3 linked regions of the Macaca mulatta genome follow. The protein of the gene in region 3 purifies or fractionates together with the protein of the main gene of each other region. This does not show direct contact. Links are inferred from orthologs where the notes say so. Each region holds a gene or a part of one and is shown on either strand. Other genes may lie near its edges.

Region 1 (4,583 bases), on a different chromosome or scaffold from region 3:
AGTCTCAAACTCCTGACCTCAGGTGATTCACCCGCCTCGGCCTCCCAAAGTGCTGGGATTACAGGTGTGAGCCACTGAGCCCAGCCTTTTTAAATTTCTTTAAAACATAAATAATTGAATTAGTAGGACCACATGGGTGTGTGTATGTGTATGTGTGTGTGTGTTTATGTTGGCAAATGTGTATGTTGGTGGGTATGTGTGTTGGTGGGAGGATAGCTGTAGCAGCAAAGTTAGTTGAGATTTAAATTTTGGCTTCTACTCTTTGTTTCACAAATTTAGCTGGGATCAGGATGAAGCCTTTATACAAGTAGGTAAATGGCAGCATTTCAGAAACTCCTAGCACTTAATCAGTCTAAGCCAGACTGGCCTCAAGATCTGGAAACTGCACGGCCCTCGGCAAGGCTCTCAGAGGGACTGCTACCTCTTCCACTAACTTCATGGTTTCCCATCCACACTCACATATGAGGATCACCTCCATAGCCCCAGGGCCACCCAACCTCACTCTCAGCAGCCTAAAAAACTCCAGAATCAAAGGCCTTCTCCCAAAAGGCCCCTCTGACCTTAACAAAGGGGCAAATCCTTACCTTACTCTCACGATGGTAACACCTTTGTTACAGGCCTCTCCACTGCCATCTGAGCATCTAAGACAAGAGCAAACATCTAATGAAGGATGAAGGGCACAGCCAGCTGTACTTCCTGTTTCGAAACTCCTAAGTCACAAACACTAGAGGGGAGGGAACGCTTACCACTTGCCCCTGAGTGAACAGAGCACCTTCTAAAGCTTCTAAAGCTGGAGGAAAAAGGCCTGATGGTCCAAGAGACTGCCTGCAGGGTGGGGCGGGGCATCTGGCCACCTGAGCACTGGCCCCTGGCTATGATGGGCCATTTTACCTTTGGGGCCTCATTTCCACATTCCAAAATGAGGACGTTGGACTGGATTGTAACTAAGAACACTTTCATTTCGTATTTAGGATTTAAAGATTTTTCTGGGTTCATCATTAAGACTTTAATTTTTTCATTCAATGAATCTTGATGGAGCACCTCGGAGAAGTCTTGAGATTGGACATCGCAGAGCCCTCATCTTGGTTCTCAGGGTGACTGTGAACGTTCAGAGCTAAAGCCCCTGGTTTAGCCAAGGAGCATCTCTGTGGCCCCAAGTCACCAGATTCCACTCTCAGCCGCCTAAAAAACTCTAAAAAAAAAAAAAAAAAAAAAAAAAAAAAAAAAAAAACTCTAAAAAAGAAAAAACTCTAAAATGAAAAACCTCTAAAAAGAAAAAAACTCTGAAATAAAAAAATTCTAAAATGAAAAAAATCTAAAAAGAAAAACCTCTAAAATGCAAAAACTCTTTGGTAAGATGGTAACCCTATCTTACCAAAGGTGATCCTTGTATATGAGTGTAGCTGGGGACACCACGAAGTTAGCCACAAGATGGGTTTACCATCTTATCAAAGAGGCAAATCCTGGGGCCCTCACCATGTTGGGCTCTAGGGACAGATCAGTAAACAAAAGATTGCCTTCATACTGAGAGTTAGACGAAATGTTTTCTGATGTTAAAAGTAGGAAAAGAAAATCAAGCACCTCTCTTCTTTGAAACTGCCTTTTGTCTTTCCCCAAATAGAATATAAGCTTTCAGAGGGCAGGGACTCATAGCTGAGAAGACTGAATGAAGTATCTGAAAAGGACTCTTCACCAGAGAGGGCTAGGTCAAGGTGGCCTGATAACATCAATGCCTGGATGGCCACAGTGGCTCATGCCTGTAATCCTAGCACTTTGGGAGGCCAAGGCGGGAGGATCCCTTGAGCGTAGGAGTTTGAGACCAGCCTGGGCAACATAGTGAGACACCATCTCTATGAAGAAAAATTTTTGAATTAGCCAGGTGTGGTAGCACACGACTGTGGTCCCAGTTAATCTGAAGGCTGAGATGGGAACATTGCTTGATCCCAAGATGTCGAGGCTACAGTGAGCCATGATTGCACCACTGCACTCCAGCCTTGGGTGACAAAGCAAGATCTTGTCTCAAAAAATAAATAAATAAAAAAGAAATAGAAACAGAATGAGTAAAATAAAATGCCAATAGTATTAATATGCAATAATAATTGCTAACTCATGTAGTAAGTGATGTGTGCGTATTATCTCCTTCAAGCCTCACAGTCACCTCTCAAGGCATTATTAATCCCATTTAACAATGAGATAACAGAGGTACAGAGGAATTACTTACTTGCCTGAGATGGCATAGTTAAAAAACAGTGTACATATACAAAAGAAAAATACATTTTGCAAAGATACAGATAAATTCACGAATCCACATCAAAACATTAGAGAATTATCTTTGGGGAGCAAGAGAGAGGGCAGGAGGGCAGGGGTGGGGGTGGAGACATAAAAGGAAACCCTTAAGACACGGAAGAGGGGTAAGCGGTCTGTGCACCTCAGGGCACTGTGATTCGACAGAATAAAGAACTTAACCCTCGGCCCCAGAGCCAAATGAAAAAGAAAAAAAAAGTGGATTGATAAAGTTTTCTGGACTCTCCAAACGGGTTCACAGGAGGGAGACCGTGTATCTGTATTCCAGGCAGTAGGGAAGCTGGGAGGACAAAAAGGCAGCAGAGGAAATGGAGACTGCTCAGAGTGAAAAAGTAGCAAGATCAGAGGCAACAGCTCAGAGAGAAACCCCACAGGAGACCTGGCCAGGCAGCACCCAGAGGTGTCCTCAGCCGGGCAGATCCAAGCTTCTTCCCCGCCCCCACAGCCCTGTTTCTAGAGCAACTCAAGAAACAAAAATATGTGGTTTCCTGTTGAAGAGGCCACCTCGGCAACAGGCACTCACCCGCTCCACCCTTTCCTGGCACCATCGCAGTCTCTGAGCCCCCTAACCTGCCTAACTCCACGTGCTCAGTGGGGAAGGGGGTGGGACAGGCTCCCAGGAAGAAGTTTCTTTTACTTTCAGTAACCACCCTGGCTCTTCTGCCTCCCTCCACCGCCTCACTTCCTGTTGAGTTGACTAGCAAATTCAGGAGGCTTGAAAAAAAAACACAAGAGATAAAAGGAGGAGAACCTGTGAAAACACTTCCCTCCAGCAGAAGGGCAGAACCTGGTCTCCAAGAGAAAGAGAAAACTTCACAGCAGAATGAACTGCAGGGTAAATTTTACTCCTAAAGCAGAACAGAGATGACTCACCCGAACAAGAAATGTTTCCTATTTAAAGGAACAGATGCCCAATTTCCAACCATTCAGAAGAGGGAGGTGGCAGACATTTCATGGACATGCAAAACTAAAACCCCGAGCGCTGGACGTGCTTTATTGGAAAGCATTTATACTGACTCCATTTAGTAATCATAACCCCTGTCGGTGACAAGTAATATGCCATTCTTCCTTGCAAAGGGTCTGGGAAGAGGAAGTTTCCCTCTGCCTTGATCCAAACCTCAGCACTGAAGTCATAGACCAGCCCTCTCCTCCCTCCCTACGGACTGGGTGAAGCCACCCCTGTAGCTGAAATGTAGGTAGACTGTTCACAAAAAAAGGAGGAAGTGTTCTGACTCAGCCCTACTTGGCTCAGCCCTAAACAGAGCTAAACAGCCCTAAATAGGGCTGAGCCAGGACACTTCAGTTCCCTTCTTTGGCCATGTTCTCCAGTTTAGTTGTAACCCGTGTCTTTGTAGCATTGATCCTGGAGTGTTGGTGCTACTGAGGTCTGTTCCCCAAAGCTCTGAACCCCAGACCCTCCCTTGTTCTCTTTTTTTTTTTTTTTTTTTTTTTTTTGAGATGGAGTCTCAGTCTGTTGTCCGTGTAACAGTACAGTGGTGCGGTCTTGGCTCACTGCAACCTCCACCTCCTGGGTTGAAGTGATTCTCCTGCCTCTCAGCCTCCCAAGTAGCTGGGACTACAGGCACCCACCACCACGCCTGGCTAATTTTTGTATTTTCAGTAGAGACGGGTTTTCACCATGTTGGTCAGACTGGTCTCGAACTCCTGACCTCAAGGAATTCACCCACCTTGGCCTCCCAAAGTGCTAGGATTAGAGGCATGAGCCACCGTGCCCAGCCACTCCCCTGTTCTCTGCCATCCGCCTCTGTTTCCCATGTGAATTTTTTTTTTCTTTTTTTTGGGATGGATTTTCGCTCTTGTTACCCAGGCTGGAGTGCAATGGCGCCATCTCGGCTCACAGCAACCTCCGCCTCCCGGGTTCAAGTGATTCTCCTGCCTCAGCCTCCTGGGTAGCTGGGATTACAGGCATGCACCACCATGCGTGGCTAATTTTGGATTTTTAGTAGAGACAGGGTTTCTCCATGTTGGTCAGGCTGGTCTCAAACTCATAACCTCAGGTGATCCACCCACCTCGGCCTCCCAAAGTTCTGGGATTACAGGTGTGAGCCACTACACCCAGCCATGAATTTTTAAAAAGGGTTTTCTGCCCTTTTGCTTGCACATCTTGTACATTTTATAACCAGAACACCAGAAGTAACATATTACCTGTATGTTACACCTTGACATGAACTATCTCTAATTCTTGCAGCAATTCAGGGTATTGTTCTCCCATGTTATGGATGAAGAAACTAAGGCTCAAACAGTTCCATGGAGTCAAA
Region 2 (4,454 bases), on a different chromosome or scaffold from region 3:
TCGGCACCCAGAACTCTACCTGGCCCAGAGAAGCTCAATAAATGTTGGTAGGATTATACTGAATTAAAGGCAAGGAGGCATTGGAGTCCATAAACACGAGTTTAATTAGCCCCTGGGGCTCTACAGGGAAGAAATAATCAGACTTCAAGGGTGCCCCATTCCCCAGAGTCCATTCCTGGTATTTGAAAGAGCAATATGCCTCGGAGTGTTGTGAGTCCACTGGAGGCTCAAGGAGGAGACCTAGGGCCAAAAGCGAGGACTCAATCCTTTTCTGCCAGTATCGGGGGACAGTGCCCCAACGTCTCAGGAGCCCAGGGCGACACCAGCCCCGGGGCGGGGATCGGGCAGGATTCTCATCTACTCACGCCCGGGCAGCCGTCGGCTCTTCCCACTGGATCTCCGCCGGGACCAACTCCCACCCTCGCCGTACAAGCTCAGACCTGCTGCTCCGCAAAAGCAGAATTGGAAATGCTCCAGATGGGATGAGGAACGAGGACAGAAAGTCAAATATATCAACAGGTGGCTTCGCCGGAGGGCGTCCGAAAACCTCTGCCTACTGAACCGCTTCACGCCTAATCCCCGCCGCCCACCGGCTGAAATGTTACAAGACATAAATTCTCGAATCCTGTCTGCGGAATTCCCCGCCCCCGCGCAGTTGAAACTTGCACAGGGCCACTCGCGTGTCTCTGGGTGGTGATATTCTCCATGCGTGGTCAAAGGGCTTATGCATATCTCAGGACAGTTACGTGCGGCCCCACCAGGACTGAGTGGGGACCGCCGGTGCGCCCCCACCACCTACTAGGAGCTGCGGTAGGACCTCCGATGCCCCAGGGGCCTAGGCAATTTCCGTTTCAGCTTCCTGGAGGCCCCCAGCCCAAGGCTCAAAAAACTGCACGTAATCCCGCCCACCCCGGGTCATGCAAGACTTTCGGGGGTAGGGGGAAACCCAGCGACCCTGCAAATGGCTTCACCTTGGAAACCGGTACAAGGAAGCAAGCAAGTATAAGGAAGCAAGTAACCGGTGTAAGGAAGCAAGTAAGGAGGTCAAATGTCAGTTACAAACAGAAACGTAAAACATAAAGTCGCTAGAGAAAGCCATTTTAACGAGGACATTTGACCCAAAAGCTGTAAGTAAAACAAGTATTAACAAAACAAGAAAATGTATGTAAAGCAAACATTTACAAACATTAAATGTATGTAAAGCAAACAGTAAACATTCAAAACTCCCTTTCGACCCAGTCTTTTTTGTTTAGATCTTGGAGTTGGGCCGGGCGCGGTGGCTCACGCCTGTAATCCTAGCACTTTGGGTGGCCGAGACGGGCGGATCACCTGAGGTCGGGAGTTCGAGACCAGCCTGATCAATATGGAGAAACCCCGTCTCTACTAAAAATACAAAATTAAGGGCATGGTGGTGCATCCCTGTAATCTCAGCAACTTGAGAGGCTGAGGCAGGAGAATTGCTTGAACCCGAGAGGCGGAGGTTGCGGTGAGCAGAGATCTGTGCCATTGCAATCCAGCATGGGCAACAACAGTGAAACTCTGTCTCAAAAAAAAAAAAAAAAAAAAAAAAAAAGATCTTGGAGCTCGAGCCAGGTTTTTTGTTAAACAAAACTTTTGTAAGGTTATTTAGGGGAATCACCAACCCGAAAAGGGCCAAAAACTCCGTTCTTCTTATCTGAAATCTCTCTCTAAAGCAGGTCAAACCTTCCAGAGCCCGCTCTCAGTTCTAGATTATTGCAGTTTGTTGATATTCAAAACGCTTTACTTATGCTATATGCTAACCCCCTACTGGTTTCACCCCTCATTGCTTAAGAACAAATTTCAAATGTCAACCAATTAAAACATTCGTAAGACCTCTGGCGTCCTTGAATTTACTTCCTACTCCGTGGAGCCAAAAACTAATTCTGAATTTCAGTGGCCTTTGTTCTACTGCGTGCCACTGTTAATATTAAAAGAACATGGCCTTCTGTCCAAATCCGGACACTCTCAAGTAAGAACATCTTGAAGTCATTTTACATTTCCCAGTCCTTTTGAAGCGGTGGAAAAATGGCAGAAACAGGTTCATTTTAAAAGGCTCTAAAAACGTTTCTTCAGTCAGGCATTCCCAGCTTTTCCAAGGCAAGCTTTCCTTGCACTTGGGCAAAATAGATATTAAACTGCTCTGGAAAATAACAGCCCTGACTAGGCTATTGTTAAATTCCCTACAGGGCGGCGGCTCCCACTGAGTGAGGTCGAACGCACACACAACTGTTGGGAAAGTCCACGTTCCCAACAACTTTCGAAAGGAAAAGTGCCAGATCTTCTCAACAGTTCACTCCAAGAATTGAACTCTCAAGATCATTTTAAGCAAAGTTTACACAACGCTGAGGACCCGCCACTGAAGCTCGCGGGTGGGCCTCTGCGGTTGCGGCTGCAGGGGGCGGCTAGAGTTAGCCAAGGTTTACTTCCGGTCTCTCAGGTCCATTGGGGTGAAGCTCGGACCGCAGTGGCCCAGGTCGCCCCTTTTTGGGAATCCGGGGCGGAGTTGCCAGCAGAAAGGGTTCGGGGTTTCGGAGCGGGGCGGAAGCGGAAGCGGGGGCATTCCGCTCAGCCCGCGGTAAACAACCGAGATAAGAAATCTACAAAACTGAGTCAGGTTCCAGAAGCGCCCCCGCCATCCCCTGGCCACTGCCGGCCACCTGCAGTTTCCCGGAGCGCAGGGCTGTGAGGAGCGGCAGGAGTGGGACGTGGGCGCGTGGGCGCGCGGCGGCTCAGGGCCTGCTGCAACGCTGACTCAGGGCCGGGCGTCGGGGCTTGGGGTCTGGGACAGCTCCGGCGCCGCCGGCGGGGGGTAGAGCGTGGGGCACGTACCGTCCTGTCGCGGCCGGACTCTCCTGCCGCTGACACCTCAGCCTTAGCTCCCCTAGACGCCCGAAAGGCGCACGCAAGATGGAGGCAAAGAAACCGAAAGCCTGGAAGCGGACTCGGAAGCGGACTCGGTGCTGGGCGATGGCTGTTCGCAGCGCTTCTCTCCCACACCCCCTCCCGTGGTCTTTGGATAGCCCTGGGCTTTGCCTCAGCTGTCACTGGACAAAAGTCCAATAGCCGGCACTCACTGTGTTAGGCCGAGTCCCCATCCCTAGCTCCGGGAGTCCTTTTTAGTTGAGACTCGTCGGTGAGGCTGCCAACTCGCTGTTTCCTGCTTTGGCTTGTGTGACTGAGTATGCAGTAACCGAGGGTGGATGTCGACATAAGTTCCACGCGTTAGGAGTAAACACTGCGAGGTTTTTTGGGGTTTTTTTTTTTTTTTTGCTTGCTTGCTTTCTTCTTTTTTGAGACGGAGTCTCACTGTGCGGCCCAGGCTGGAGTGCAGTGGCGCAATTTCAGCTCACTGCAACATCCGCCTCCCTAGTTCAAGCTATTCTCTTGCCTCAGCCCCCCGAGTAGCTGGAACTACAGGCGCGCACCACCACTCCCGGCTAATTTTTGTGTTTATTAGAGACGGGGTTTCACTGTTGGCCAGGATGGTCTCGAACTCCTGACCTTGTGATCCGCTCGCCTCGGCCTCCCAAACTGCTGGGATTACAGGCGTGAGCCACCCAGCCAGGCGCGAGTGTTTATGATTTGATGTCTGGGAGTCATAGCAAACGTGAACGCACTTTGTGGTTTTTTTGTGTGTATGTTGTTTTTTGTTTTCCTTCTTGAGACAGGGTCTCGCGCTGTCGCCGAGGCTAGAAGGCAGTGGCGCCATCACGGCTCACTGCAGCCTGGACTTCCTGCGCCCAAGCCATCCAACCCCCTCAGCCACCCGAGTAGCTGGGACCACAGGCACAGGCCATCATGCCCGACTAATTTTAGGGTTTCACCATGTTGGCTAGGCTGGTCTCCAACTCCTGGCCTCAAGTGATCCTCGCCCGCCTCGGCCTCCCAAAGTGCTGGGATTACAGGCGTCAGTCACCGCGCCCCGCTAAGTTTTTATTTATTCCTATTATCTATCTACTTTATTGTGATTCTTAAAAAGCTTTAACTTTTCTTGAAATAATTTTAAACTCACAGGAAAGGTGAAGAATAATACCAAGAGAGACTAACTGCAGGACGGCATGAAGAGCTCAGGATTCACCCCTAGTGAAACTGAAAATTATTTAAAACAACAAACAACCATTAACTATTTTAAGCGTCTGAAATGGTCCTAAGGGCAAACAGCAAATGAAGAAACATGTATTCCAAAAAATCTATAAAAATTCTTGCATCAGAATGTGAGAGTTTGTGGTATTTAAAGCAAACCTCTGCCTTTGTGCAGCAAGACAGACTCCACTCCAGACGGCTGCAACTAAGAACCTCTGTCTTCCCACAGCTCCCAGTCAGAGACCAGCATGTCAGCATTTCTCATCTTGCCCCTAGCTACCTGATGCTGAAGCTAAATCCTGGGGAAGTGTGGTGGAGAGGTGGCAAAGTCCTTCTTCCATTCAGAGGCT
Region 3 (4,634 bases):
ATATAAGCATTTACCATGATAACATGTCCTCTTAGCACTGCTTTTACTGCATCCCGGAAGTTTTAGTATGTTGTGGTTTTTGCTTCACTTATCTCCAGATCTTTTCTAATTTCTCATATGAGATCCTCTTTGACTCGTTGGTTATTTAAAAGCTTGATTTCTACATGTGTGAGTTTACTCTTTTCCTTCTGATGTTGATTTCTAGTGTCATATTGTGATCAGAAGTTTTAATTTCAGTTATTTTAAATTTATAAAGAATTACTCTGTGGTCTAACTTATGGTTTATCCTGGAGAATATTCCATGTATCTTTGAGAAAAATTGAATGCTTCTGTTTGTGGTGAACTGTTTTTTATGTCTTTTAGTTTCCATTAGTATATAGTGATGTCCAAGTACTCTACGTCCTTATTTATCTTCATTCTGATTGTTCTATTTTTGAAAGTGAGACAATTGAAGTCTCCAACTATTATTACAGTAGTGTAAATTTCTCCCTTCAATTCTGTTTATTTCCTGTTTTATGAACATGATGGATTGGATAAAAGGAATTGAGTGAAACAGAACTTTTAGTGGGAGGTTTTATTTTTATCTGACTAGCAGTTAGGGAGTGTTTACTGTGTCCTGTAGCTATTGGTGTCAAAGGATAAAATTTCTTTTTCTTTTCTTTTTTTTTTTTTAGACGGAGAGTCCCTCTGTTGCTCAGGCTGGAGTGCAGTGGCTCGATCTCTGCTCACTGCAACTTCCACCTTCTGGGTTCAAGCAGTTCTCCTGCCTCAGCCTCCTGAGTGGCTGGGATTACAGGCATGCGCCACCATGCCCGGCCAATTTGGTTTCTTTTGTATTTTTAGTAGAGACAGGGTTTAAGCATGCTGGTCAGGCTGGTCTCAAACTCCTGACCTCGTGATCCGCCCACATTGGCCTCCCAAAGTGCTGGGATTACAGGTGTGAGCCACCGCGCCCGGCCGAAAAGAAAGTATTTTCAACAAATAGTACCGGAACTCGGTAAAATATGGAGAAAAATGAATATCAATCAGCGTCCCCTTTCTCTTACCCACTCCTCAGCCCCAAGGTCGCCCTGGGAACCCTTCGCAGGCAGGACCGTGACTCGCCTGGCTTTCGGGAGGCTGATTTTCCGCTCCCTGGGCCCGCGAAGCGCTGGGTGCGGAGGAACTGCTGGAAAGGACCTGCCTCCACGTGGGACTGCCGCCAAGTCGCATCCCTGTCATGCACCAGGTAGTCCCCCATGGTTTAAGAACTCTCAAGACTCTTTAACAGGTTAGGAAAATCCAGAGGAAAGGCAGAATTGGGTCCCTCGGGCTTGCCTGACACCAGGGACAGTGGAGTTGAGGTGACATTTCACTGGCATGGAAACCTGAGACCAATAGCAGGATGCGCCGGGCTCGGTGGCTCACGCTTGTAATCCCAGCACTTTGGGTGGCCAAGGAGGGCGGATCACGAGGTCAGGAGTTCGAGACCAGCCTGGCCAAAACAGTGAAACCTCGTCTCTACTAAAAATACAAAACTTAGCTGGGCGTGGTGGCGGGCGCCTGTAATCCCAGTTACTCAGGAGGCTGAGGCAGGAAAATCGCTTGAACCCGGGAGGCGGAGGTTGCAGTGAGCCGAGATCGGGCCACTGCACTCCAGCTAGGCGACAGAGCTAGACTCCATTAAAAAAAAAAAAAAACAAAAAAAAAAACGCAGGATGAATCACTCGCCCGGTAGTGACGGAAGAGGCCGTAGAAGCCTCTTAGAGGCCAGATTCCGCGGTGGCGGCCTCTGTGCCCTTCATTCCGCTACCCATCCGTCCACCGAGTGCCTGCTAGTAGCCAGGAATCCGGCCACGGAGAGACTGAGGTCGACTCCCGACCGAGAAGCCTTGCGCTGGGACCAGTCGTTTTGACAGTAGCAAAACGACTCCGAATGCAGCAGCATCCACGCGGCGGCCGTGTTTGAGGAACAGAAGCTGAGGGCGGCGAGGGCGGCGAGGGCGGTCACAGAGGAAGGAAGTTCAGGGTTGGCCAACAGGAGCCGCAGGTGCCCCGAAAAGGGGGCGGGGTCAGGGGTGCCCTGAACTCCGAATGCGAACTTCTGTCTTATCACAGCCAAGCACGCTGCTTCTTAGATTGACCTGGCAGGATGGCGCCACCACCAGCTGGAGTAAAGCTGGGCGCGTTCCTGGCAGTGACTCCGAATCCGGGGAGCGCAGCGAGTGGGACAGAGGCAGCCACAGCCACACCCAGCAAAGTGTGGGGCTCTTCCGCGGGGAGGATTGAACCGCGGGGCGGGGGCCGAGGAGCGCTCCCTACCTCTATGGGACAGCAGGGACCCAGTGCCCAGGCCCGGGCAGGGCGCGTCGTAGGACCCAGGTCGGCGCAGGGAGCCAGCCCTGGGCTCCGGGTCCACAAGACCCTCAAGTTTGTCGTCGTCGGGGTCCTGCTGCAGGTGAGTCCCCATCGCGGTCCTGCCTGGGGAAAAGCGCGCCTGGCACCGGGAGGGGGCAGGGAGAGAGGGGGACACGGCGGGGGTGCCTGGCCCTGGTCACTTGTGGCGGGGCATGTCCGGGCAGAGGAGTCCGTCGTCGAAGTCCGAGGAAGAGCGGGGTCCCCGGGGCCAGGCAGGAGCGGCCGGGGCCTGGAGGGAGCAGAGCCCCCTCCCGCAAGAGTCTGGGTCCGGGGACTCCACCACGTTGGCCGCTGCCTAGCGCGGCTCCCTGCTCCCCACACTTCAAGATGTATCGGGACGTTTCAGAATCGATAGAGCTCAAGTGTGTAAACTTCCAAGCCACCTCCGAGCCACACCGGCTGCGTGAATGGGGAGCACCATTCTCCTCCCCACTCCCTCATTCCCTCCCCACCCCCATCCTTCTTTTCTCTCTCTCTCTCTCTCTCTTTTTTTTTTGAAACGGAGTCTCGCTCTGTCGCCCAGGCTGGAGTGCGTTGGCGCGATCTCGGCTCACTGCAACCTCCGCCTTCCGGGTTCAAGCGATTCTCCTGCCTCAGCCTCCCGAGGAGCTGGGACTACAGGCGCCCGCCACCACGCCCGGCTAATTTTTTGTGTTTTTGGTAGAGACGGGGTTTCACCGTGTTAGCCAAATCCGCCCGCCTCGGCCTCCCAAAGTGCTGGGATTACAGGCGTGAGCCACCGCGCCGGGCCCTCCATCCTTCTTTTCTTAGACAAATCGGTTAAACACGCAGCCCGGCAGAAAAAGTAACTTTCTCTCCGCTGCTTGTTTCTTCCGTTTCGAGTCCACTAAACACACCGGCAGCAGTTTCCTGCCAGCCACTTTCTTGCACATCAACAGGTACAGGGCAGTGAATTGACCACCAGGCAGGCAGCCAAGACCGGGGCACGCCCTTCCTTCAGGAGGCAGCGTTTCCTGTGAAAGCAATCACTCAGTCTGGAAAAATGCCAATACCTTCAGTTCTCTTTCAAGTTCATTAAGTCTCTATCAATTGTTCTCTTTCAGATTCCTTCTATGTTAAGGAAAAACAAAACAAAAGCCAAATTACCTCAAAGATAAACCAGTCTTACAAGTGTCGGTAAATTTTAAGTGTTTTTGTTTAACAAACTAAACAAAATCCAGGAAACCAATAGCATTTTGTAATCTCCAAATAATTACAGAATTTATGTTTTAAACATCAGTTTATATTAGGTGGAACCCACGGTTGATGCTTATTTTTAATACGCTTATTAAATGGCTTTCTTTTTGACAGGCTAGTGCGATTCCAGGTGGATGTAGGGCTCACCTGTGTAGACAAGGTCAAACATCTGAATTTGGTGGTTTTGGAAATGTGACAGTGCGTTTGTGTGGCTATAAAAAAATACTTGAGGCTGGATAATTTATAAAGAGGTTTATTTGACACATGATTCTGCAGGCTGTACAAGAAGCATGACACCAGCATCTGCTTCTGGTGAGGCCTCAGGAAACTTCCACTGGTGGTGAAGGGGAAGGACAGCTGGATTCTGCCCATCAGGGAAGGGGGTGGGGAGAATGGCAGGGGGAGGGGGATGATTTCTGAAAGGGGAGCGGGAGGGGCCAGGTTCATCCTAACAGCCAGCTCTCATGGAAACTAAGAGTGACAACTCCTGGGGGAATGTGGGAGGGGGCAGGTATGGCACCAAGCCTTTCATGAGGGATCCACCCCAAACCCCAACAGGCCCCACCAGCTACATTGGGGTTCAGATTTCAACATGAGACCTGGCAGGGACAAAGGACCCATAGCAGACACCAAGGCCTTCTTCCATCCCACAGGACCCTCTCATCCCACCATCCATCAGCCTTCTTCCTGTGCATTTATAGGTACTTTAGCTTTTAAAAATTCTGACTGAACAACAAATCACATCAGATGTTTTCTATCAGTCCATGCATGTATCTCATTTTCTTTAACAGCATCATAATATTTAGTGCATGGGTGAAACACATGGGGTGAACCACAGTTGATTTTAATCTTCCATCCTATGGGCAATTGTTAACATTATGTCCTGCCTTTGTTTTTACTAATTCCAGCAGCATTGTAGTGAGAACCCTTGTATGTATCATATGTCCATGTGTCAATATTCTCTGGAGTATCGGGCAGCCCTTTAAAAGAGGAATTCTTGGGTCAATGAGCTCATTAATTTAGAATTTTGTTTGGATAGT

What was found.
Region 1: the proteins of TNFRSF10A (region 3) and CASP8 purify together in Homo sapiens (affinity purification with western blotting; 13 studies listed by BioGRID and IntAct, counting the BioPlex papers as one, with this or other methods). This does not show direct contact. The link is inferred for Macaca mulatta from reciprocal best matches to the Homo sapiens genes TNFRSF10A and CASP8.
Region 2: the proteins of TNFRSF10A (region 3) and CFLAR purify together in Homo sapiens (affinity purification with western blotting; 5 studies listed by BioGRID and IntAct, with this or other methods). This does not show direct contact. The link is inferred for Macaca mulatta from reciprocal best matches to the Homo sapiens genes TNFRSF10A and CFLAR.

Annotation. Positions count from the first base shown.
Region 1 is NC_133417.1:106,371,468-106,376,050, reverse strand, and holds the start of CASP8 (caspase-8), read right to left. Parts: upstream 3,184-4,583; 5' UTR 2,853-3,183; coding exon 2,828-2,852; intron 642-2,827; exon of another isoform or gene 585-641; intron 1-584. UniProt on the Homo sapiens protein: Thiol protease that plays a key role in programmed cell death by acting as a molecular switch for apoptosis, necroptosis and pyroptosis, and is required to prevent tissue damage during embryonic development and adulthood.
Region 2 is NC_133417.1:106,216,892-106,221,345, reverse strand, and holds the start of CFLAR (CASP8 and FADD-like apoptosis regulator), read right to left. Parts: upstream 3,205-4,454; 5' UTR 3,096-3,204; exon of another isoform or gene 1,644-3,095; intron 1,574-1,643; exon of another isoform or gene 366-1,573; intron 1-365. UniProt on the Homo sapiens protein: Apoptosis regulator protein which may function as a crucial link between cell survival and cell death pathways in mammalian cells. Acts as an inhibitor of TNFRSF6 mediated apoptosis.
Region 3 is NC_133413.1:24,962,031-24,966,664, reverse strand, and holds the start of TNFRSF10A (tumor necrosis factor receptor superfamily member 10A), read left to right. Parts: upstream 1-1,694; 5' UTR 1,695-2,131; coding exon 2,132-2,437; intron 2,438-4,634. UniProt on the Homo sapiens protein: Receptor for the cytotoxic ligand TNFSF10/TRAIL. The adapter molecule FADD recruits caspase-8 to the activated receptor.